Linked DNA regions of Cricetulus griseus. The protein of the gene in region 1 interacts with the protein of each later gene in a pairwise test. Links are inferred from orthologs where the notes say so. Each region holds a gene or a part of one and is shown on either strand. Other genes may lie near its edges. The genes, in order: Med4, Txlna, Amot, Kifc3, Ushbp1 and Tnfaip8.

What was found.
Region 2: the proteins of Med4 (region 1) and Txlna interact in binary tests that used the Homo sapiens proteins (3 or more experiments, as listed by UniProt). The two-hybrid records come from large-scale screens. The link is inferred for Cricetulus griseus from reciprocal best matches to the Homo sapiens genes MED4 and TXLNA.
Region 3: the proteins of Med4 (region 1) and Amot interact in binary tests that used the Homo sapiens proteins (3 or more experiments, as listed by UniProt). The two-hybrid records come from large-scale screens. The link is inferred for Cricetulus griseus from reciprocal best matches to the Homo sapiens genes MED4 and AMOT.
Region 4: the proteins of Med4 (region 1) and Kifc3 interact in binary tests that used the Homo sapiens proteins (3 or more experiments, as listed by UniProt). The two-hybrid records come from large-scale screens. The link is inferred for Cricetulus griseus from reciprocal best matches to the Homo sapiens genes MED4 and KIFC3.
Region 5: the proteins of Med4 (region 1) and Ushbp1 interact in binary tests that used the Homo sapiens proteins (3 or more experiments, as listed by UniProt). The two-hybrid records come from large-scale screens. The link is inferred for Cricetulus griseus from reciprocal best matches to the Homo sapiens genes MED4 and USHBP1.
Region 6: the proteins of Med4 (region 1) and Tnfaip8 interact in binary tests that used the Homo sapiens proteins (3 or more experiments, as listed by UniProt). The two-hybrid records come from large-scale screens. The link is inferred for Cricetulus griseus from reciprocal best matches to the Homo sapiens genes MED4 and TNFAIP8.

The regions. Positions count from the first base shown.
Region 1 is NW_023276807.1:228,022,090-228,024,791, forward strand, and holds the end of Med4 (mediator of RNA polymerase II transcription subunit 4), read left to right. Parts: intron 1-17; coding exon 18-104; intron 105-571; coding exon 572-703; intron 704-1,509; coding exon 1,510-1,682; 3' UTR 1,683-2,202; downstream 2,203-2,702. UniProt on the Homo sapiens protein: Component of the Mediator complex, a coactivator involved in the regulated transcription of nearly all RNA polymerase II-dependent genes.
Region 2 is NC_048595.1:23,392,968-23,397,081, reverse strand, and holds the start of Txlna (alpha-taxilin), read right to left. Parts: upstream 2,801-4,114; 5' UTR 2,683-2,800; exon of another isoform or gene 2,668-2,682; intron 2,134-2,667; 5' UTR 2,128-2,133; coding exon 1,962-2,127; intron 1,019-1,961; coding exon 680-1,018; intron 1-679. UniProt on the Homo sapiens protein: May be involved in intracellular vesicle traffic and potentially in calcium-dependent exocytosis in neuroendocrine cells.
Region 3 is NC_048604.1:35,457,639-35,461,138, reverse strand, and holds part of Amot (angiomotin), read right to left. Parts: intron 3,186-3,500; coding exon 2,735-3,185; intron 1-2,734.
Region 4 is NC_048596.1:171,341,685-171,345,654, forward strand, and holds the start of Kifc3 (kinesin-like protein KIFC3), read right to left. Parts: upstream 2,801-3,970; 5' UTR 2,674-2,800; intron 1-2,673. UniProt on the Homo sapiens protein: Minus-end microtubule-dependent motor protein. Involved in apically targeted transport. Required for zonula adherens maintenance.
Region 5 is NW_023276806.1:247,616,872-247,620,371, forward strand, and holds part of Ushbp1 (Usher syndrome type-1C protein-binding protein 1), read right to left. Parts: intron 3,477-3,500; coding exon 3,351-3,476; intron 2,115-3,350; coding exon 1,981-2,114; intron 1,841-1,980; coding exon 1,700-1,840; intron 1,379-1,699; coding exon 1,214-1,378; intron 249-1,213; coding exon 1-248.
Region 6 is NC_048595.1:188,304,521-188,308,508, forward strand, and holds the start of Tnfaip8 (tumor necrosis factor alpha-induced protein 8), read right to left. Parts: upstream 2,801-3,988; 5' UTR 2,689-2,800; coding exon 2,616-2,688; intron 1-2,615. UniProt on the Homo sapiens protein: Acts as a negative mediator of apoptosis and may play a role in tumor progression.

The DNA.
Region 1 (2,702 bases):
CTATTTTCTCAACTCAGGTGCTATCTCCTCAGAAGAAATCATTAAATATGCACATAGGATTAGTGCAAGCAATGCTGTGTGTGCACCACTGACTTGGGTTCCAGGTAACATTGCTTCTTATGTCAGATTAAAACTATTTAAATGTAGAATGTACTTCTCTAAAACAACATCTCTAGGCATTTTTTTTCAGTGTCCTAGTAATGCCCTCTGTGGCATCTCTCAAGAGGATGTATCATTGTTGATGTTTCTTACTAGGAAATAGAATTAAGTTGGAAGAATTGAGATTGCTATAATTCGCCTACCTCTGCCTCCTGAGAGCTGGGATTAATGGACCATGCCCAGCTTGAGAATTTTCAATGCAGCCAGGCTAGGTGTGGTACTGTAAAGGCAACACCTGGAGAGGCCGAGGCTGGATTGCAAGTTTGAGGCCAGCATAGGCTACATAGTGAAAACCCTGTCTCACAAAGAGCTTGAGGCTTTCAGTGTGCACCAAGGAAAGTTAATACTTCAAAGAACTTATCTTTTGTTTTTTTAAACTTGAGTTAAAAAGCTGCCTTCATTGTTGTTTTAGGAGACCCTCGGAGGCCGTACCCAACTGATTTAGAGATGAGAAGTGGATTGCTGGGTCAGATGAACAACCCTTCCACGAGTGGTGTGAATGGCCATCTCCCAGGGGATGCCCTTGCAGCAGGTAGACTGCCAGGTAATGCTGACAGGAAGGGTGTTTTCAAGCAGACCAAGGGTTTTCAGAGGTGCCAGCGAGGCGTTGTCTAACATCGAACTCTTGAGATCCCAGGCCCAGCCTTATTCATCTACTTGTTTGTCCAGGGTCCCTGCCAGTTTGTTATTCTGTGCTTGCTTTAGCCAAAGACCCTGCAGTGGCATTGCATGACATGAGCCTAAGCTGTCCCCATGTGCATCTCCTGCCACCCTCCCCCCAGCACAGGAGCTTTCCTTGATGACAACGAAGAACATTTTCCATCATGAGGCGTGCTCCCCAGATAGACTAAGCATTTTTGTAGGTGCCATGTTGTAATGTAAAAGGATCTTTCTAAAGAGAAAGGACATGAGTGGGGGCTATGCTTTCTGAAGCCCATTTTTAGCTTTAGCTATCTCTTCTGTACTAAAGTGTGGATTTGGGAACTCTGTGCTTATTAATTCCCAGACATTCCTTGTCTTTCTCATTGCAGTTATACTACACTGTTGGTTATAATCCTTTTAAGACAAACAACACCAGTAATTTGAGTAGGAAAGTTGAAAGGATTAATTAGTAACAGATATGGATGAATAGCTATTATGTATAGGACCATGGCACAGGACCCATGGCTGGGGTATAATGGACATAATTTGTTGTTTGTGTGTGTTTAGCATGGATGGGCCCCTATCTTGTTAGACCTCTGGTACTACAAGGTAGGCGGGTAGATAGAATTAAGTTACTTGCATAAAGGGAGGGTGATTGACAAGTAGATGGATTACAAGTAAACTGATCCCCATGCTTCTTTCCTCCAGATGTCCTTGCTCCACAGTACCCATGGCAGTCAAATGACATGTCTGTGAACATGCTACCACCAAATCACAGCAGTGACTTTCTGTTGGAGCCTCCTGGGCACAACAAGGAAAATGAAGATGATGTGGAGGTTATGTCAACAGACTCTTCAAGCAGCAGCAGCGACTCTGACTGAAGAAGGCGTGAGAGCACGCACAGACTAGTGCTGCAGAGCCCTGACAAGAGGGACATGTAAACCCCAGACCTCTAAGGAGCAGCCCACTGAAAACCATTTGGGGTTCTTTTCAATGCCCCCCCCCCCCATTTTGTCTCATCTGCTAGGCAAACGTGTGAGGATTAGTCAGCATTACTACTTTGGTTTGCACATAGCAGCTCTGGAAGTGAGGCTGCAGGAGAATGACACAACTCTCGGGAATGACTTGAAAGGGCACCAAGCCAGGCGTGGCGGCTCATACCTATAATCCCAGCACCAGGGAGACAGGGATTGCTGTGAGACCTTCATAGTAAGTTCTGAGCCATCAGGGCTACAGAGCAGTCCGGGCCAGCACAAAGGCAGCGGGGCTCTGAGTGTGGTATTTCAAAGTGAAAGTGCTCACCTGAGAGTCGGCTGCTGTTGCAGCGACAGAACTATCACTATTTATATGTGGTAAATACTGTAATTTGTATAAATAAACTTGCTTTTGTTTATTTTTTAATTTTCCTGTTGTCTGATTTATGTATGTATGTATGTATGTATGTATGTATTTTGGTACCCCTTCAGTATAAGAAGGAAATTTACTTAAATCCAGTTGCATCTAAGCTGGGCAGTGGTAGCACATGCTTTTAACTCTAACACTCAGGCAAAGGCAGGCAGATGTGAGTTGGAGGCCAGCCTGATCTACAAAGCCAGTTCCAGGACAGCCAAGGCTACACAGAGAAACCAGTCTTGAAAAACAAAAAAATTCAGTTGCATTTTATAATATTCAAGTAAGATTCTGTTATATATCAGAAAATACAAGATAAAATGACTATATCTTAACTAGTAATCACAATTAGGTTTCTGAGAACATTAATAATTGAAAACATTTATTACAATCCCATACCACACAGACACACAATTTCATGGAAGGTTTTAAAATAGAAGGGTTGGGGGAGAGCAACCAACCAACCTTTGGCCTTGTTGTCCTGCAAAGTTCTTGAGGACTCCAGAAGACCC
Region 2 (4,114 bases), on another chromosome or scaffold:
TAAATGAGATCTGGTGCCCTCTTCTGATATGCAGGCAAATATGCAGACAGAATACTGTATATGTAATAAGTAAATAAATTTAAAAATAAAGAAAAAAGAAAAGAAAGCAAGGAACTCAGCCGGGCATTGGTGGCGCACGCCTTTAATCCCAGCACTCGGGAGGCAGAAGCAGGTGGATCTCTGTGAGTTCGAGGCCAGCTTGGTCTCCCGAGCGAGTGCCAGGATAGGCTCCAAAGCTACACAGAGAAACCCTGGGGGGGGTGGAGGGGGGGAAGGCAGGGAACTAAACAGGTAGAAGTTAATTTTTTGGATAAAGTAGACCCTCTCTTCATTCTCAAGAGGTTCATGGTTTACCTGGTTAATGTTGACATTTGAGATCTTTACCTTGGTGTAGCCCAATTTTGTTGCTTTCTAAATAGGGAAACTAAGACCCAGGAGTGGAGCATGAACATGTCCACAGGAAAAGAGCAGGTTGCCTTCACTTGCTTCCAAGGACAAGAGGCCTTGCCCAGGTGAGCAATCTGAACAGCTCAATGCTGTTACTCCACAGTCATGGCTTTGACTAAACTGGGGGATGTTCTGTTTTGAGAAGCAGATTCCTTTGAGTTCTGACAGAGCAGGCTAGCTCATGAAATGACAGGTCTTAACTCCCTCCCCTCACCAGTAGCTGCCCTCTCACCCAGACCCTTGGCTTTCTTCTTTTCTTGTGGCCTTCGGTGGTCTCGGTCTCCAACCTCATCACTTGCTCGGACCTCTTCTGAGCCTGGCTCCCCCTTGGAGGTTTCCTTCTCGCCATTGATGACTGGAATCCCTGGTTCAGGCTCCCCATTCCTTGCTGCATAGGTTCGGGACTTCTCTGCATCTTCCGGCTCAGTAGGCTCACCCTGTGCTCCCTCCTCGCCTGGGCCTCCCTGATTGTTGTCTACACAGTATGTACTCAGAATGTCTTCCAGCTGCCGGCTCAGCTCCTCAGACACATCACACAGGGGCCCAGACTTGGCTGCTTTAGCTTGAGCCCCTACAGCAACAAGATTAGGACACAGAATGAAAATAAGATGGTTACATCCCTGGCTTGAACTTTCTTTTTCTTTAACCCTAGACAAATACACTAGTTTGGGATAAATGTTGTTTTATTTGGTTGAGACACGATCTCTCTACAGAGCCCTGACTGTCCCGGAACTATGTAGACCAGGCTGCCCTCAAAGTCAGAGAGCTACCTGCCTCTGCCTCCCAAGAGCTAGGACTAAAAGAGAGGGCCACTACGCCGAGCCTCAGTTTAATTTTTTCAAACCTTAAGTTTACTTTGTTATAAAATGATACAATTATTATCACCCAAACATACTTCTTATGACCATAAAAGACAATTATGGCTGGGAAGTAATAGTGCTAGCCTTTGATCCCAGCACTTGGGAAGCAGAGGCAGGTGGATCTCTGTGAGTTCAAGTCCAGCCTGGTCTACAGAGTTCCAGGGCAGCCAGGGCTACACAGAGAAACCCTGTCTCAAAAACACAAAACCAAACAACCAAACAAAAAAGACAACTATGTAGATAAAGCACCACACCAGGGTTGGGTGGCATGTAGTAGAGACTCCACCTCTAATTCCTTTTTTTCCTACTCAAAACGCATTTTTGGTTATTTTTATAGTTCCAGAAATGTCTCAAGTATGAAGGACAATTACCCCCCCCCCACACACTGGCAAGTGTTTTCTGGGAACATGACTTTGTTTGTGGGGTGCCTCAGTTGTCATTTAATTTAAACCAGTCAGAGCATGCTCCCAAGGTTCCATTCCAGGGCTAAGGGAGGGAAGCTTCATCACCTGCCTGGGAAACACGAGACCCACACAGAATGGGTATTGTTTCATTCCATAGTTCCTCCTTCCTGGGTAAACACTGGCCTCAGCACCGAGGCCAGTCCCAGAAACTCCTCCCTCTGCCCACTGGAAAAGCAGAGCAGGCACACACCCTCGGTCTTCCCAGGAGCCTGGTTTGTGGAACCTTCAGCCTCCGCCGCAGGAGCTGTCTGTCTGGGCCGTCCCTGGGCTCCCTCTGGTGCCGCTTCCCGTTGCCCGGGGCTGCTCTTCGGGTTGGAGTGTTTGGCAGGCCCATTCTTTTTGTCTTGGTTCTTCATTGTGATCTGCAAAGGCAGAAAACGGGTAGATCCTTTGAAGACGACACAGTTGCTATTTTCAAGACTTCAAAAAATTTCACAACCTAGATCAGAAATCCCAACGCCAGGCGCTCCAAGCTTCAAACAAACTGGCCGGCCTTGGCGGAGACTCGAGGGTCCCTGCAGGGAGGGTGTCGGAGGAGCTGGCCCTGAGGAGAGTGAAGAAGAGGCCTCCTTTCTCCCGAAAGCCACTTCCCAGCAGCACCACTCCGCTCCCTCTCGGAACGCGAGCGCGGGATTGGCTCCCCGCCGCACGATGACGTGGCGGGACGCTCCAGCCCCCACCGGCCCCCGGCCCGGCCCCACGTGGGACCCCCGGGCGCGCGCGCCCGCCCGCCCGCCAGCCCGCGCGGAAGCCACCCACACCCCGCGCGCCCTCTAGCCCCACGGACGCATGCGCAAGGCGGCGACATCGCCACAGACCCCCGCACGGAATTAGTTATTCCTCTGCAGCCAACGCAAGCTGGGCCACAGACCCTCAGAAGAGCTCGTCCCACCTACCGCCAACAGACGTACCTCACCACGGACGTCCGATGGCGTCCCCCGCTCTGGCCGGGCACCGGAAACCCGGGTAACCGCTGCCAGCAGGACCGCCCGCTCCTGCCGCAGCCAATGAAGAGCTAACGCTGGCGCGGAGCTTGCTGGGAAAGACGAGGCCAAGGTGGCTTTGGAGTCGTGAGCGGGAACGAACTACGAGTCCCTTCATGCATTGCGGCGGGGCACAATTCCCGAGATGCCTCCCTTTTTAGGGTCTCTACCCGCTGCAGGTCTGAAATTCTGCAGTACAGTCTAGAGATTCCCGTCAGTATCCTTTCGAGTGCAGAAGCTGTGATTGGCGCTTGGCTGTTTGTTTCATACGCTTCTCCATTGATCCCTGTGGACGTGTATGACTGTTTCTAGGACCTCTGAGGACTCGAAGAGGGATAGAAGGCTGAGCTGGGAATTAGGAGACCTTTGTTCCACTCCTAAACCAGTAATTTGTCATGTGCCTGGCATTCTATCCCCCCCCCCATTCCAACAGAGGGGTTTTGTTTTTGTTTTGTTTTTGGAGACAGGGTTTCTCTGTGTAGCTTTGGAGCCTATCCTGGCACATCCTGGAGACCAGGCTGGCTTCGAACTCTCCTGCCTCTGCCTCCCAAGTGCTGGGATTAAAGACGTGCGCCACCAAAGCCCGGCGTCACTGTCTTCTCTTATTCTTTTTTTTTTTTTAAGATTTTATTTATTTATTATGTATACAACATTCTGCTTCCATGTATATCTACACATGAGAAGAGGGCACCAGATCTCATAGCAGATGGTTGTGAGCCACCATGTGGGTGCTGGGAATTGAACTCAGCACCTTTGGAAGAGCTCTTAACCTCTGAGCTATCTCTCTAGCCCCTGTCTTCTCTTCTTGTATCTAATAGCTTGGCCCTCATAATTACTCGGAGAAAGTACAGGATACTTTGTGATCTAGGAAATATAGGACAGTATGGAAAAGGCGAGATGGCTTTTTTAATTGCTTGCTGTCTGTTGGAGACAATGTTTCCTTATGTGTAGCCTTGGCTGACCTGGAGCTCCCTATGAGGATCAAACTGGTCTTGAACTAAAGACAAAGGCGACCATGCCCAGCTAAAGGTTATATAATCTAAGGCTGCATCAATATTGAGTGGTAATAGCAGATTCAAAGCCAGAAGCCTGACACCAGCACCCATCTTAACCACTTTCTTCCCAGAAGAAATAATCGCCGTCACAGGCTTTCTCTGAGGCAGTGTACTGGACACCTCTGTCATCACCAGCTTGGCAGTAGCTCTCTCAGGAAGGGATTGTAGCAGAGGGAGTTTGGCTTCCGGCAACTTGGTGAACTCCCACTCCATCACCGCTGCTCCACTTTCTGCAAAGTCTCTTGTGCTTGCACACGGGCTAAAGTTTTAAAAAGTAGGATTTTCTTGTCTTTGCTTTTCTTTAT
Region 3 (3,500 bases), on another chromosome or scaffold:
AGAAAACAAGAAATCAGACTCCAGAGGTTTTCTGTGACCAGTACAGCTCCAGTGCACGTGTAATGACCTCGGCGATTATTTGCATATAATTTGTATAAGACAAATAAACCCCATGGCCTATTAAGCAATTTTCAAATTAAGTCTTCCTCCTGTAACCACCCTGCATTTCTTCTCAGTTTGCCACTCTTCTTGAACAAAGCTCAGGGTGTGTTAGGGGGTGAAATAAACAAGCGCCCAATGGAGGATGGGGGAGGAGACACAGCGCAGTTACAATCAACTCCCATTCCAGCTGCCCCCATCTTCAAAATCCTGCTGGAGACAGGACTGCCTGCAAACAAATGAGGCTTACAGCACTGAAAAGAGCAGACTTGAGAGTGTTGTTCTCCTTGCAGATGGCACCCAGATAGCAGCACAGAAGGTGAAAACTGGTGAATGGCATTTAGAGACAAGATCTGCAGGGCTTGTGCCTGATGAGGCTTTTGCATGAAATTCAAGTGCTGGAGAGGAGAAAAATAAACATTTCCATTTGAAAGAGCAGGCTTGGTGTTGGTCTGCAAGAGTCAGCCAAGAGCAAGTGAGGGAGGCTTCCTGCTTACAGCCCAGAAGCCTCACCTAGACGACAGTCCCTTTTCTCCAAGTGCACAGCCTGCTTGGGAAGGATCTGGTGTTGCTAATCCTTCCCCTCTCCCTTGTGGAGATACTGTCCTCTTGCAAAGAGCCATGCAACAAGGCCTTCTCAGAAAGGCCAATAAAGGCAGATTCACTGACTCGGTGTGGGTGATGGAAGAGGTGAAACAGAGGGAGAGTGGCAGGGGTGGGGGTGGGGTGGGTTGGGAGTTAGGGCTTGCTAATTCTACTTTCTGTCCTCAGGAGCCTCCAGTGCTCGCTTGCTCTCCCGCTCTCTCTCTCTCTCTCTCTCTCACTCTCTCTCTCTCTCTCTCTCTCTCTCTCTCTCTCTCGTCTCTCCCTTTTTCTTTTTCTTTCTGTCTGTCCTCCTTTCTTCCTCTGTTTCTTTTTCTCCTTCCTTCCCTTCCCCCTTCCCCCTTCCCCCTTCCTCCTACCTTCCTTCTTTCTAGCTCTACCATCTACTTTCATTTTCTTCTCCCCTCCTGTCACCTTTTGTGAACCCCAGCATTGGCTTGGAACTGTTTCTGCAGACGCGCAAGCCATAATTGTCATTTTCTGACATACATCTGCACAAGGACCAAACAATAAACAAAATTCCGATTTTGCTCCCTGCACTAGTCACCCAACCCAGCTCCAAGTGTCACCAGAGATCATTGACAAAGAAGATCTGAGCTCAGTAACCAGTGATTATGTCAAAGATGAGGCCAGGCCAACCCAAATTAAAAGTTAGGGGAGGTCTAATCAGCTAAACAGGGTTTCTAGTCAATACACAAAATTCATGTACATGTACACCATTAATGCAATAAGGGGTATTTTCAAACTGACAAGAAAACATAAAATCAAGACAAAGTAATAGCTCTCAATCCATCATAACCTTCAACTGGATTTGAGGAAATTGAGAAAGGGGGCATTTTTTTTTTCACTATATAAAAACCACTTAACTATGGAAAATTAGCCCTCTTCTCTTTTAGGTAAAAGATCTGGTGTTGGCAAGTTCTCAGCTTCATGCAGGCCCCTGAAATTTCCACTCTTATGTCTTAGGGACAGAGTAGGGCAACTGTCCTTCCCTCCCCGCCTTCAGCCTCGAACTTCCTTAACAGTTTGCAAGGAGATCATGCCACATGAACTCTGCATGGCCAAAAGCTACAAAGAAGCTAACAAATGCATAATTCTATTTACTAATAGCCACTAAGGCAAGAACTGAGATTTGGGCTTTGAGGCCCTCAAAAACTAAAGTCCCAGCTACAGCAGACAGTGGGGGTAAGGGGAAGAAGAAGGAATGGGAATTTGGGACACACATTCCTTTTTCTATTTCCTCTGCCTAGGGCTGTCACCTGTCACCCAGCTGTGGTGCTAAATCCCTTTTGTGCACCCCCCCCCAGACACACACACACACACACAGACACACACACACCAGAGAAGGAGCAGATGTTGAAGTGGATCTGTGGAGAAAGACCAAAGCAAACGTGGGGAAGAGGGCTAGTGTCAAAGAATTATGAAGAAAACTACCACAAGGAAGAACACTGTCAGTCTCTTCCTGAACCATACAAAATCTCAGCTGGTGGGATTTTTTTCTCGATTCAAAATCATATGGGGAAAATATAAACAAGACAAAAAGCGTTTAAATGCTGGCGGGCTTTCCATGAGCACAGACCTACTAATACTCATTATTAAGAAGTATATCTGCTGACTTTTTGACTAGGACAATGAACTAAGTTTTCTTAAGAGTTATAGAGTTTGGAACATCTGTAGTATTTTTCTTTTAGTATAAATGTAACATGTTACTTCTCTTAAAGAAAGGGGGAGACAAAAGACGGAAGTGAGAGTGACCCTGATGAAAGTACATGATATGCATGTGTGAAAATTTTATCATGAAATCCATTATTTTGTATCATTAATGTATGATAATAAAAACAGTAAAAGGCAGTTATCTTAGGCAGATAAAGCTTTTTTTCTAAAGTTTGACCAACATCAAAAAAAGAATGTCAAAGATCTACCCGTAAGAGATAGTAAGCACACACAGATGAAACATTTTTTAACGGGTATTTAACAACTCCCACTAGAATGATTCAAAGAAGTCTCTATTGACCCTTAAGGGGAGCCGTACCTTCTGTAGTCTCGCCACCTTCTCATAGCATGCATCCAACTCCTGCCGCAAGTTCCGATTCTCATCAGAGAGGATCTCAACCATCTGCTGAGCTCTAGAGACGATGGCAAAAGGATCAGCTGGCATGGGCTGATAAGAAGCAGACTGCTGAGCCCGAGGCATAGCTGAGTAGGCTTCTCCTGGCTGCTGCTGTGCTGTTGGAGGAGGCAACGTGGACTGGGAGAGACGATAGTGGTCCCCCTGGTGACTCTGATTAGGAAGAAAATGCTGCTGCTGCCTTGGCAGGTGAGTAGAATGGTCACCTTGGTTTGAGACCAAGGCGTGTTGAGCAGGAGACAATCTGGTAGATGGTGGAGACTGCAGCAAGGAACTCCCAGATGTAGAGGAAGATGTCGGGCTGTGAGGCTGAGAATTCCTTGCTGCCAAAGACAGCGAGATGTCCTGTGTTGTCCTGAGAAAACACAGAAGGCAAGCTCTGGTTAAGTTTGCTCCCAAGGCACATGAAATAACACAAGGAGATATCCCCCAAATTCAGAGAAGTGAGAAGGAAGAAGAATTAGATCCCCATGAAAGAACTCTAGAGTTCATTCTTACCGAGACATTTTGTGACTCTGTCCAACAGCTACTACTGCTCACTAGCTATGATCCCCTTGGAGATGAAACCAGATAACCTCTGAGGTAAGTATGAAAACCTTAAGATGGCTATCTCCACCTTCATTGCTCAGTCGTTTAAAATTCCTCTTGTACAAAGTAATGCTCATGGCAT
Region 4 (3,970 bases), on another chromosome or scaffold:
ATCTCCTGCCAGGCAGCAAGAACATGTGTTGAACTGGGTCTGTCTCTCTCACCCTCTCTGGCTCCCTGCGAGTGAGAGGCATGCATGCATGCATGTGCGCACGCGCGCGCGCGCGCGCGCACACGCACACACACACACACCCCAAAGCCAGGAAAGGAGGACCGGCTAGCCACTAAGACTCAGAACTAAAGGCCACGACTGCTACAGGTAAGGACGAAATCAGCAAGGTTGACCAAGATGGGAGACAGTATTAAGTAAGGACAAGGCTGGGGTGAAGAGGGCGTGGAGGGGTGGGAACAGTAACTGGAAGAGGGAGGAGGTCAGAGAGGTGGCAGGAGCTGCCTATGTCATGCACAGAGTCCTCAGAAGAAGCTGGGCAGATAAGTAGGATAGTCAGGTGGTCATGGCAAAGCCAAAGAAAGCCCTAGAGAATTCTGGGTGGGGGGTTATACCTACCATCCCAGCACTCAAAGGTTGCAGGTTCTAGGCCAGCCTAGGCTGCAAAGCAAGTTCAAATTGGCTCAAGGAATTGGAGAGGGCCTAGAAGGCAGCTGTTTTCTTCTTTGGGGGAAGTTTAGCGACGATGGTTAGGAGAGGAACTGAGACAGGGGAGAGGTGGCATTGTGGGGTAGACAGAGGTGCAGGAACAAAGCATCTAGAAGCAAGGTGGGGAGAAAAGAAAGAGTCTGGGGTCAGAGACTGATGCTCACGGGGTCAAGTACTGAAGACAGTGGGGTCGTGGTCTCTTCCTTCCTTGACTGAAGACAATGTGGGGTACACAATGAGAGGGGGACAGGAATGTGGGACAAAGGGTAAGGAAGATGCTGACCCATATAAGTAGCCTCACAGCGCTGATGCCTTGAGATGTGTGTAAGGGGGAAGAAGCAAGAAGAATGGATACAAATGTCCTCTCCAGGCTGACTGGCACAGAGCTGGGCATAGAGCCAACCCTATAGCCAACGGGGGATGATGAGAGGACCGTCCTCTGCAGGTGCTCCTACAGGGGAGACCACGTAGGACAGAGGATTGATTCTAGGGGACATCAGCTCAGTCTAGGAGGTAGAGGCTGGAGACCATATTTCTGTGCCAGCAGGACGGGAAGTTGGAGAGGCAGCCTGAAGAAAGAGGAAGGGTGTGTGCTAGATCCCCAAGAGGAAAAGGCAGCTGAATTTAGCAGCTGGAAACCCTGGTGTGAGGTCAGGAATATCAGGGAATCTCAATCAAGCCCAGGGTTCTACACCGAGACAGCAGCGCAGGCTCTCCTACACAGGTGTCTTATCTGGGGTCCTGGAGCCTCTACTAATCTGGAATTCATGGAGTAGATCTATGAGAGTGGTCCAGGCCTTGGCCCTGCCACCTATGAGAATTAATCACCTAGTCTTTGTCTTATCACCTCCATGTATAAAATGGTGAGAGCTGCACTTCATAGGACCGGCATGAACATCAGACAATACATGTGTGAAGTGTACAAAGAGCTCAGAATGCTATCTTTTGGTGTACTGTCCCATTAGTGGGTGAATGCAGAGGCACATTGGGGGAGGGGTATGTGTCTCTCTGGGTTTAGGCCAGGATGGTAGAGCTGCCTTCCTCCTGCTCTAGACCAGAGACAGTGCAAAGACTAGGGGTATACTTCATAGTCGCTTATACACCACTGCTGGAGATAGCCTGGTTCTCCTGGGTGAGCATTTTGGGGTGGCTAGACTGGGCTAGGGTTTCCCTGGCACACAGAACATATTCTGGGTAATCCAGATGTCAAATTCCCTGCTCCCTGGAACCCATCCGGACAGCAGAACTCACCACCCCAAATCCTGAAGTCCAGCCCCACAAATACACAGAACCATTTTGGGGCTGCATTCCTAGCAAATGACTCTCTCTGGCCAAGGAGACGCCCCTTTATGAAGGGCACAGGGGAAAAAATCCTACCAGGCCAGAAAGGGCACTCGCCCAGTCTGGGGCAGAAGGACACTAAGGAAGGTGAAGCTAGGGGTAGTTCCAATGCCCAAGCTTGACATATGCATTAAAGAGGGTGGGATGGGGTGACAAATGTACTTAAGAATTAAAATCCAGTTTCCTCTTTAAACTGTCTCAGGACTGGGCCTTTCACTGTGTCGGCCAGAATTCCGTTCTTACTTGCAGTAGGAAGGCTGAAAGGGGACAGACAGCTTCTGGGCTCCCCCTCCCTGCCGGGATTCCTCAGCTGCAGCTGTCAATGACTTGATTCGTCTGGGCTTGTGAGGGTTATCTCCGATGCCTTTCCTCCTAACCTAGGGACTGGCGCACCCCACCTTGGGCCTGGCCAGAGAAAGCAACTACCCAGGGACCCAGAGGGAGGGCCAAACTGCAGCCTTCCTGGGAGCGACCCATGCAGGGGAAGGGGGCGCGCTGGCTGACACGCAGCTCCCAGGTAGGCTCTGCACATTCCCCACCAATGAGATCCAAAGCGAGTCCAGGCAGCGCGACCCCAAAGGCCGTGCCACCCTCAAGCCCAGCGAGATTCTTCAGCTGGAGGATGCAACGGGACCCCACGCACAGCCGGGTCTCTCTCGGGCCCGGACGCCGCGCCCTCCGTAGATCGGGATAGAGGGGTCCCCGGGCAGGGTGGGCGCGGTGCCCACCAGACGCGCTAGGGGAGCCGGTCCCAACCCGTCCTAGCCTGCCCGGACCCCGACTCACCGGCCTAGCGGAGACAGGATCACAGCGTCGCCGCAGAGCCCAGGGCTCGGCCAGCTACGGCCCGCCCTCGCGAGGCTGCTCCACGCCGCCGCAGCTGCCGCCGCCTCCTCCTCCTCGGCCCGCCCCGCGCCCGCCCCTCCCGCACTTTCCACAGGAAATGATTAACTCAGGCCGCGGCGCGTTTCCATGGCAACGGGCTCGGGAGGGGGCACGCTCACTCTCGCGCACGCGCCTGCCCGGGGCGCATGCCCCTTCTACTCCTACCCCCAACACAGGCTGATAAAACTTCTGCGCTCTCCCTCTGGTGCACGCGCCCCAGCACACCTGCCTGCGCCTTTGGAGAAGGCTCACGCCAAAGTGCCTGCACACACCGCAGTGCCTGCACACTTGCCCTTACCCAGCCTGCAGGAACGCAGGCCTCGCCTTCCCACCCAGGTGTTAACATTTGGTTACACTCACCCTCAAATGGTTGGCACTCTGCCCCTAATCCAGGTGCAGAAGTTTCACACACTCCAGCTAAGATTCACACACATCCGGCACACAGAATAACATTTTAAGAATGCATTTTTTTCATTCTAGCACACTCACGCATGCTCTTGCACACGAGATCAAACATATACACACGTTGACCTGTTCTGGTACACGGGCATGCACTCTCTCTGTCTTGGTCCTGCCTGCCATACTGTCTCTCCAGCTGCGCCCCTGCTCCCCAGCCAATGAGCATCTTCTTGAGAAGCCTGCTTGGGGTTCCTTAAGGTAACACATTCCCTTAAGCTCCAGCCAAACAGCTCAGAGTGCAACAGCCCCCAATCTGCCTTAAGCGCTCCTCCTGGAACGCCTGGGAGCCTCAGAAGAAGCCTGGGGGAGAGCAGGCCCAGCCAGGCAAGAGAGACAGCTGACCCAGAGGAACCACTCTGTTCTTTGTCTCCCAAACAGAGAAGCATTTATTTCAGCCACAGTGTGCCCACTCGACGGTGCGGAAGGAGAAAGTGGTGCAGGAGCCTAACCAGCAGAAGCTGATGATCCCCAGAGAACCTCCGAAGCAAGCAGCAAGCATGGGGGGTCTGCCCCTTCTGGCTTGGCAAGGATGGCTTATGAGGGAACAGTTCAGATGAGCTGTTTCCTGCTTCTGCTGCTGAGACATGCGACTGGGAGTCAAGAATCTGAACCAAGACAGGCACAAGGGTTTAGGCCCCAGCTGGAAGCATGCATTGTCTCCTTTATTGGAGGCTCTTTTCATAGGGTAGGGGGTTGTCTGTCATTAAAGTTTGAGTATAAAAGCAGAAACATTGTCTTG
Region 5 (3,500 bases), on another chromosome or scaffold:
GAATAGCCACCAGCTTCTGCTGGATCTCAGACTTCTCTAGCCGGGGCAGGGCTGGGCCAGGCTGTATCTCCAGAATGGCCTGAACTGTTGCTTCTGTGTGGGGCATAGTGGGCCTGGGTGCCGTGGCAGGGCCAAGAGGTGGAGGGATCTTCACCAGAGCCCAGCGTTCCCGGAGACGCTGGACATAGCCATGGAGCTGAGCAGCTAGTTCCTGTGGCGTAGGCTTGTCAACACTGCTGCCCCCTGGGCTATAGGAGACAGGTGGAGACAGGTGTTATACAGCTGTTCCCAAGACACGGCCCGAGGAGCCACCACAGTCCTGTGCCAGCTGGGCAATCTTCCAGCAAGATAATATGGCAGGTGCTGGGGCTCAGTCAGTAGAGTGCTTGTTGCTCAGTCCATAGAGAGCTTGCATTCGTGAGGTACCATATATACAACCCAGCCTCAGGAGATGGAGGCAGGAGCATCACCCTCAGTTACATAGCCAGGTGGTGGAGCCTACATGCTAATCAGGCCACCAGGGGACTTTGAACTTAATTCCGTGCACACTGAGGCTGCACTGGCAGTGCAGAGACAAAACCAGAAGCTCACCAGCACTGTGATGGACAGTACCTAGAGCTGTATTGCTAACCCTGTCAAGTCCACACAGGGCTTCACCAATGCCCCGGACACTTCCTGTAGCTCTGCTTCCCACTTCCTGTTGCCATGATGGATTGACCAAAATTAATAATTTTTCTCTTCACTGATTTCCCCCCCTGCTTTAGAGGTTGAAACCAGGGTCTGTGCATCTATGCAAGGCAATTGGTACTTTGTATAAGATATGTATGTATGTATGTATATATGTATATATATATGTGTGTATACACACATATATATGTATACACACACACACACACACACACACACATATGAGGCAAGGTCTAGGCTGGCCTAGAACTTGCTATGTAGACCAGGCTGGACTTGAACTCCTCAAACTCTGCCTCCTGAGTGCTGGGATCAAAGGCATGTTGTCACCACACCTGGTGTCAGGCAAACTAAGCACCACTGAGTAACTAACACACTCCAGTCAGGCCTGGTGCCAGCCATGATGAACTCAGCACCTCCCTGGGCAGTGACAGTGACAATGACATCAAAATCCTATATGTAGCAGGCTCTGGGACATGCCCCACCCCACCCCGTGGACCACCATAGCTCTTATGCTTCCTGTAAGTACCTGGGCTGGGGTGTCTTTCCATCCATAGCTGCCTCCTTCTCCACCAGCAGCCTAGCTGCCTCCTTCTCAGCAGCCTGCAGGTCACTCTTGGGGGCTTCATCTCCAGCTCCTGAGTCAGCCATCCTCAGAGCAAGCAGCACCCCATATACCTCCTCACAATCCTCACTGTGGATGGCATTTGAGTGTTTCAACATTCAGCCCCAACCCAGTAAGTCAGGCAGATTTCTGTGAGTTCAAAGCCAGCCTGGGCTACATAGCAAGTTCCAGGCCAGCTGGCGCTACACAGTGAGACCTTGTCTCAAATAAATATATAGCAACAAACCACAAAAAGACAGCTCCCACCCTCCATAGTTTATGGGTTAGAACAAGATCTCATGGTGAGGCAGTGTGCTTTCTGAAGTCCCCATGTCCCTCTGCATAGGGCCATCCTGGGATGCAGCCCCATTTCGTCCCCAGCCACCACCATCATTGGTAGCAGACACAGACCTATATTGCAGGGCCAGGCGCAGGGCTGTGGCCTCAGCCTCCCTCTGGCCCAGCTGCATGCTGAGGCTCTCACAGCGGCCCTTGTAGCCCTGGAGCACAGCCAGCAGGAGGCGATTGAAGCACTTCAACTTCTCAATGCTCCTATCTCCAAAGGCAGGCAAGAGGGAAGATGAGTGAGGGTCCAATCAGCTAGATCCCAGTTTCTTCCCCACCCCCTCACAACCCAGTAGCGGGAAGCATGATGCCCTTAAAAGCTCAGCAGCTGTGACTCAGCCACTCACCCCTGGAGCTGCTCCATCTGATCTTCTATAAGGTGCATCTCGGGGGCTGAACGATGTTTGGAATGGCACCCAAAGATCTGGGTGCTAGAGTCACTCTGGAGGGGTTGGAGAAGAGGATGAGCCAAGGGGGAGTCCTGCCAGGAGTACATGACTTGATTTACTACCCATCATTCTTCCTTTTTGCAGGGCCCTGGAACATATTATATATCTGGGGCACCACTGCAGCTTTGGTTTGTGTTTTTGGTGTGTGTGCATGCACACGTGTGTGGGATGTATGCCTATGACACATGAATGGATGTCAAAGGACAACTTATGGGACTCAGTTCTCTGGTTCCACTCTGGGAATTCCAGGGATTGAGCACAGATCACCAGGCTTGGCAGCAGGTGCCCTTTCCAGCTGTGTTATCTCACCAATGCTTATTATTATTTTTTAATCTGGAGACAGGGTCTTGATAAATTTATTGGTCACGATCCTTCTGTCTCAGGCCCCTAAGCAGCTGGTGACTGTGGGGTGACAACCAATCTGGTGTTTTATGCTTTTTCTCTTTTATTTTTATTTCATGTGTGTGAGTGTTTTGCCTGCAAGTTTCTGTGTACACCATGTGCATGCCTGGTGGCTGTGGAGCCCTGAAGAGGGCGTCAGATCCCCTGAAACTAGAATTACTAATGATTGTGAGCTGCCATTTGGGTTCTGGGCATTAGATCTGGTCCTCTGTGAGAGCAGCTAGCACACCTAACCAACGAGCCATCTCTCCAGGCTCTGCTTAGGTTTTTTTTCACACTATGTGTTGTATTAACAGTTTCCTCTGAGATAGAAACATTCCACCTGCTCCTTAGGCAGGATGATAAACAACTCCAAACAGTTTCAGGAAGTCCCTGAAACTGAGCAGATTCACTAGGTCCCTCCCTGCCAGAGTAAGGAAAGTTCTTAAGAGACCAGCTGATTGGCTGCAAAGAAGACTAGAGACCAGACCAGCTGTGCTGAAGAGATTTAGACCAGTCACTGGAATGGCATACTCCAATTTGCAGGCTGTGCAGTGTGCTCCAGGCTTCCAGCTTTGTGAGCTGTCACCCATGCTGGGGTGGGCTTTGGTGATGCAGCTCTCTGAGTCATTTCAGCTCCTGTAGGTGACCCTTCACCCGTAATCCTGTATGTAACCACCAAGTTGGACTTTGGCTGTGTCTGTGCTTTTGTGTAACATGGGCTCCCTATATGGGATGAGTTGACGTGTATAGTGTCTCCCCAGGAAAAGTTTTGTCACACAACACTATGGGATCCCATCAAGCACAAATTGAAGCTTACCCCCATCCTCTCACACTGGAAAAGCAGAGGACATCACCACGACATGCTCTAAAGACTTCTGGCTTACCTGAGGCACCCAGGGCTCCCCTTCTGCCCCAGAACTGCTGGAGTTGCTGTTGGTATGCCCCGCTCTGAGGAGGAGGACAGCCGGGGAGGCCTCCAGCTGCCTCAGGGAATCCTCTAGCTCCAGCACCTGCAGGTGATGGGGGATCAGACT
Region 6 (3,988 bases), on another chromosome or scaffold:
TGCAAGCAGAAGATTGTCTAATGGCCACCATGCTCATGGTGGGGACTGGTGAGGCAGTAATGACCTATGTTAGGTGGTAAAGGGAAGTGGTTGGTGTGGGCAATGGAGGAGAGAGTGGTACTCACTTGCCTGCCAGCCCTTAATTCTCTCCCAGGTCCTCACAAAGCAATAATAGCTTTTGCATTACCACTACTGAAACCCCGATTGATTTCCAAGGCAAAGGAATCTTGGATTCTTCAGTGCTTATGTCTAACTCATCCTCAGTGATCTCAACTATCATTCATTTTTACTACTTTCATAATTAAGCAATGTATTCAACAGGAAGCAACTAAATGCCAAATATGTGGATATTAATTGTCTCCTCAGGAAGCCTGTATCCACAGGAAACTGTTGATATCCTCTTTTCAAAGGCATTCTCCTCCTTAATAAACTGGCTACTTCCCATTTACTTTATGTCTAAATATCTTAAATGCTTTTCCTTTTTCATATAGCAGATCCTGGATTGTTTTTATCACTTTAAGCTCAGTCACTTACCTACCGACAAGCAGGCAGAATGAAAGCATTTCTTTAGGTGACTATAGGCGGGAGCTACTGCTGGCACAGAGTCAAGTGCATTCTAAGCTATGAAAGCTGAACAATCTCCCCAGTCACAGTCGTCGACACTCATGCACATGCATAAATAAATTGGCCTCTAAGGGCTTCTACATCTGATGGTCTTTTTTCCAGATTCAACCCCAATGAAAGTACACTAGTCTCTTACTAGGGTTTGGAATAATGAATCCAAAGTATCCACCACTACAACAGATTGGATATGAAGCATCCAAAGGCAACTTTCTTTCAATTCAGACAGTATGAAGGGCTCTTGGTGACCTCTCACTAAACAAGATAGACAAGTCTGCCACCAGGGAAAAGAACCCCATAAACTGTAAGTGAAGGGAGGTGAGAAGGTTAGAACCCACAAAATACCAGCCTGGCACGCGCGCGCGCACACACACACACACACACACACACACACACACACACATCCTAGAAGAAGTGTCAATCAGTCTGGTCATTAATTTTCCTCAGACTTAGTTAAAAAAGAAAATCTTACCCTAACTTCTATCAATTTAAAATTCTAGCAGCTCAGATTGATTCAAAAGAAACACATATTCTGAGCTTCCTCTAAAATGCAGAGAGCAAAGCCTGTGTGTCAGGTAGCTACTGCAGGCAAGGGCAGATAAGGAATGGAAGGAGTGAAAGGTGCCCACTACACCACAGTTTCCATGTTGCTGCTTGCAAACTCACAGCCAGAGCCAGCAAAGAGAGGGGAGAGTGTGGATTGTTGCTAGAGGGAGGCTTAATACAGTTGACCTGGCAGTTTTTCACTCCCCCCTCCACTCCTTTCCCAAAAGACAGGGAATAACAGGCCCGGAAGAAAATGTTAATCTAAGCGCTGTGCAATTTACAAAAAAGTTCAAGAGTGGTTTCTCAGTCCAGTTCCAATTTCCTTTTGACTCCGCGTAAATTGCACAAAACAGAACAAGAAAACACACATCCGCACTCTCTGTTGGTACAGGGGCTGCTGCTACAGGGAAACACTCCTCTCCAAAGCTGTCACTTTTCATGCGGGCTGGCCAGTATTTCTATTAAACAAGCCCCTTTCAATTGACAGTTTCTCTCACACACATTGCTAGGTACATGGGCCACACGGAAAGCCTACATTGCAAAACGCAGAAGGTTCCTTGCTCAGCCCGAGCTGTGACTGACTTGTAAGTTAGCAGTCTCCCAAGAAGCTACTTGAAAAGAAAGGGGGATTTCACAACCTTGAACTCCCCCCACCCGTCTAATTTTCCCCAACCACCCCGACTCCAACCCCCATTCACAAGTGGACTTTTGTATATATAAAGTTCCAGGAAACAAAGCACACAAACACTCACACACAAATAAACTCCCAAGCTAACACCAGCTATAATAGTGTTTTGGTTGGAGCTTTTCCAGCCCTGTCACCAGCTCTGTTAGCAGTAAATGAAACTCTTGCTTTTCCAAAGACAGAAAGGGACAAACTTTCCTATTTCAAATGGTAAAAAGGCACCCTCACATCTTCCAGTCCCCAGCAAAACCAACTGCAGAAGAGGTAGCAAGGAAAAAATAAATAAATAAAAACCGAACATATCCCCCCCCCCCAAAAAAAAAAGATCTTTCACTTCTCTCCTCATCCAGCTTCCTCTTTTACCCGGAAATGCATGTCCCTTCCAATTTCTGACACCCCTTTTCAAGGGACCCTGACTTGGACTCTTCCTGGGAATCCAGCTTTGGGCTGTCCCCAGGCAGGCGGACAGGCAGCCCATTCCAGGAGCGTTTTGTATTCTTAACAGTGAAAGCCCGCTTTCTCCTTTCGAGAGAAATCTGAAAAGCAGCTTTGGTGGGCTGGCTTGGCTAGGTTTGATGCTGGATCCCTTGTCCCTTAACTGCCCGATTAGTGGGACAGGGCTGCTCCCTGGACTCTCTTGAATCCAGCCAGCCTGAGGAGAGACAAAGTTCCCCACTGCTCGCTAGTTGCTCCCATCAGCGCCTGCTCCCGCCTTCCTCCACATTCCTGCGCTGAAGTTGGCTGAGCCCAGCGGCTGGCGTACCTTCCTTGGGCTCCTCCACCTCGGAGAGCATGCTGTCGGGGTGCACAGCCACAGGCGCCACCACCGCGGACATGGACGTGAGGCTGCGAGGCTCCGGGACGAGTGTGATGCGCGCAGGCGGGACGCGGTGGGAGGAAGCCGCTGAGATCAGAACCTCCCGGGGCGGGCGGCTGGCTGCGGGAGGGATTTTCAGGGGAAAGTTCCGCAGGAGTGACGAATCGCGCGGGGCTGGGCCACAGCAGTCCGCCCCCGAGGGGCCGCCGCGGGTGGAGGAGACCCCGGCAGGTGGGGCCCAGCGCAGGAAAGGTGCCCTGGAGAGAAGTGCACCGGGACAAGCTTGCGCTGCATTTGGGAGGGGTGTGGAGAGTGACATTTTTGACATTCCCCGTCTTGAGTTTTTACATGGCCCGATTTATGAAAACCCTTTCAGGGCTGTTGTATTTCAGGCTAGTGATACAGATGCTGTGAGAACATTTGGAAGGGTCCCGTTCACAGGGCACAAACTTCACCAGCGCCAGAAATGGCCTCTAAGGAAAGTAGGACAGGCGAGGCAGAAGCCCCCTATGCATCGCTGGCTCCCTCTAACCAAGCTGCTGGTCCCTAAAGACCTCTCTGGCTTTGGGAAATGCTGACTGACAGAAGATAAACGGGCAAAGGGCAGGAGGGCCCAGGGAACAGCAACCATCCTGCCCTCCCCTCCCCTCCCGTCCCCACCTGGCTCTTACCACCAAAGTCCTCTTAGCTCTGGGTGGCCCCTGTTTGCCCTTCAGAGAGGTGGGCACAGCCGCTTCCACTGGCCTCCCTGTCTTGCGGGGTATTTATTTTATCAAACCTTGTTTTAGCACCAACCCTAGGGTGAGGGGCCTCAAGGAACCTGAAAGGAAACAGCCAATGGGAAGGAATCCCCAGCTGGAGATTGTGAGGAGAGGTACATTCTTTAAGAAATGTATTTTCCAGCTGCCCTCCTTCTCCTTATATCTTACTTTTATATGGGGAGAGAGCGGTCCAGGACCTATGCTAAATTTAATGAAAGGATTATGCAAAGTGCCCATGTTTTTCAAATCTGGGTTTAGATTTAGTTCTGCTATTTATTATTTATATGGCCTTAAGCAAAATAATAATTAATAATAATTAACCCCTCAAGCATCCATTTGCTCATCTATAAAACACAGATAAAAACAATATATAATTCACACATTTGGCTGGTATTGCAGAAGGTACTATAAACAAAGTGGCTTTCCGCCGACCGACCCAGGAACTAGAGTCCTCATCCAGTGGCTGATGGAAGCAGAGACAGACATCCACAAATATACACTGAGCTGAAATCTGGAATTTAGTTGGAGAGAGAGAGGAATGAAGAGCGAAGGGGTCTG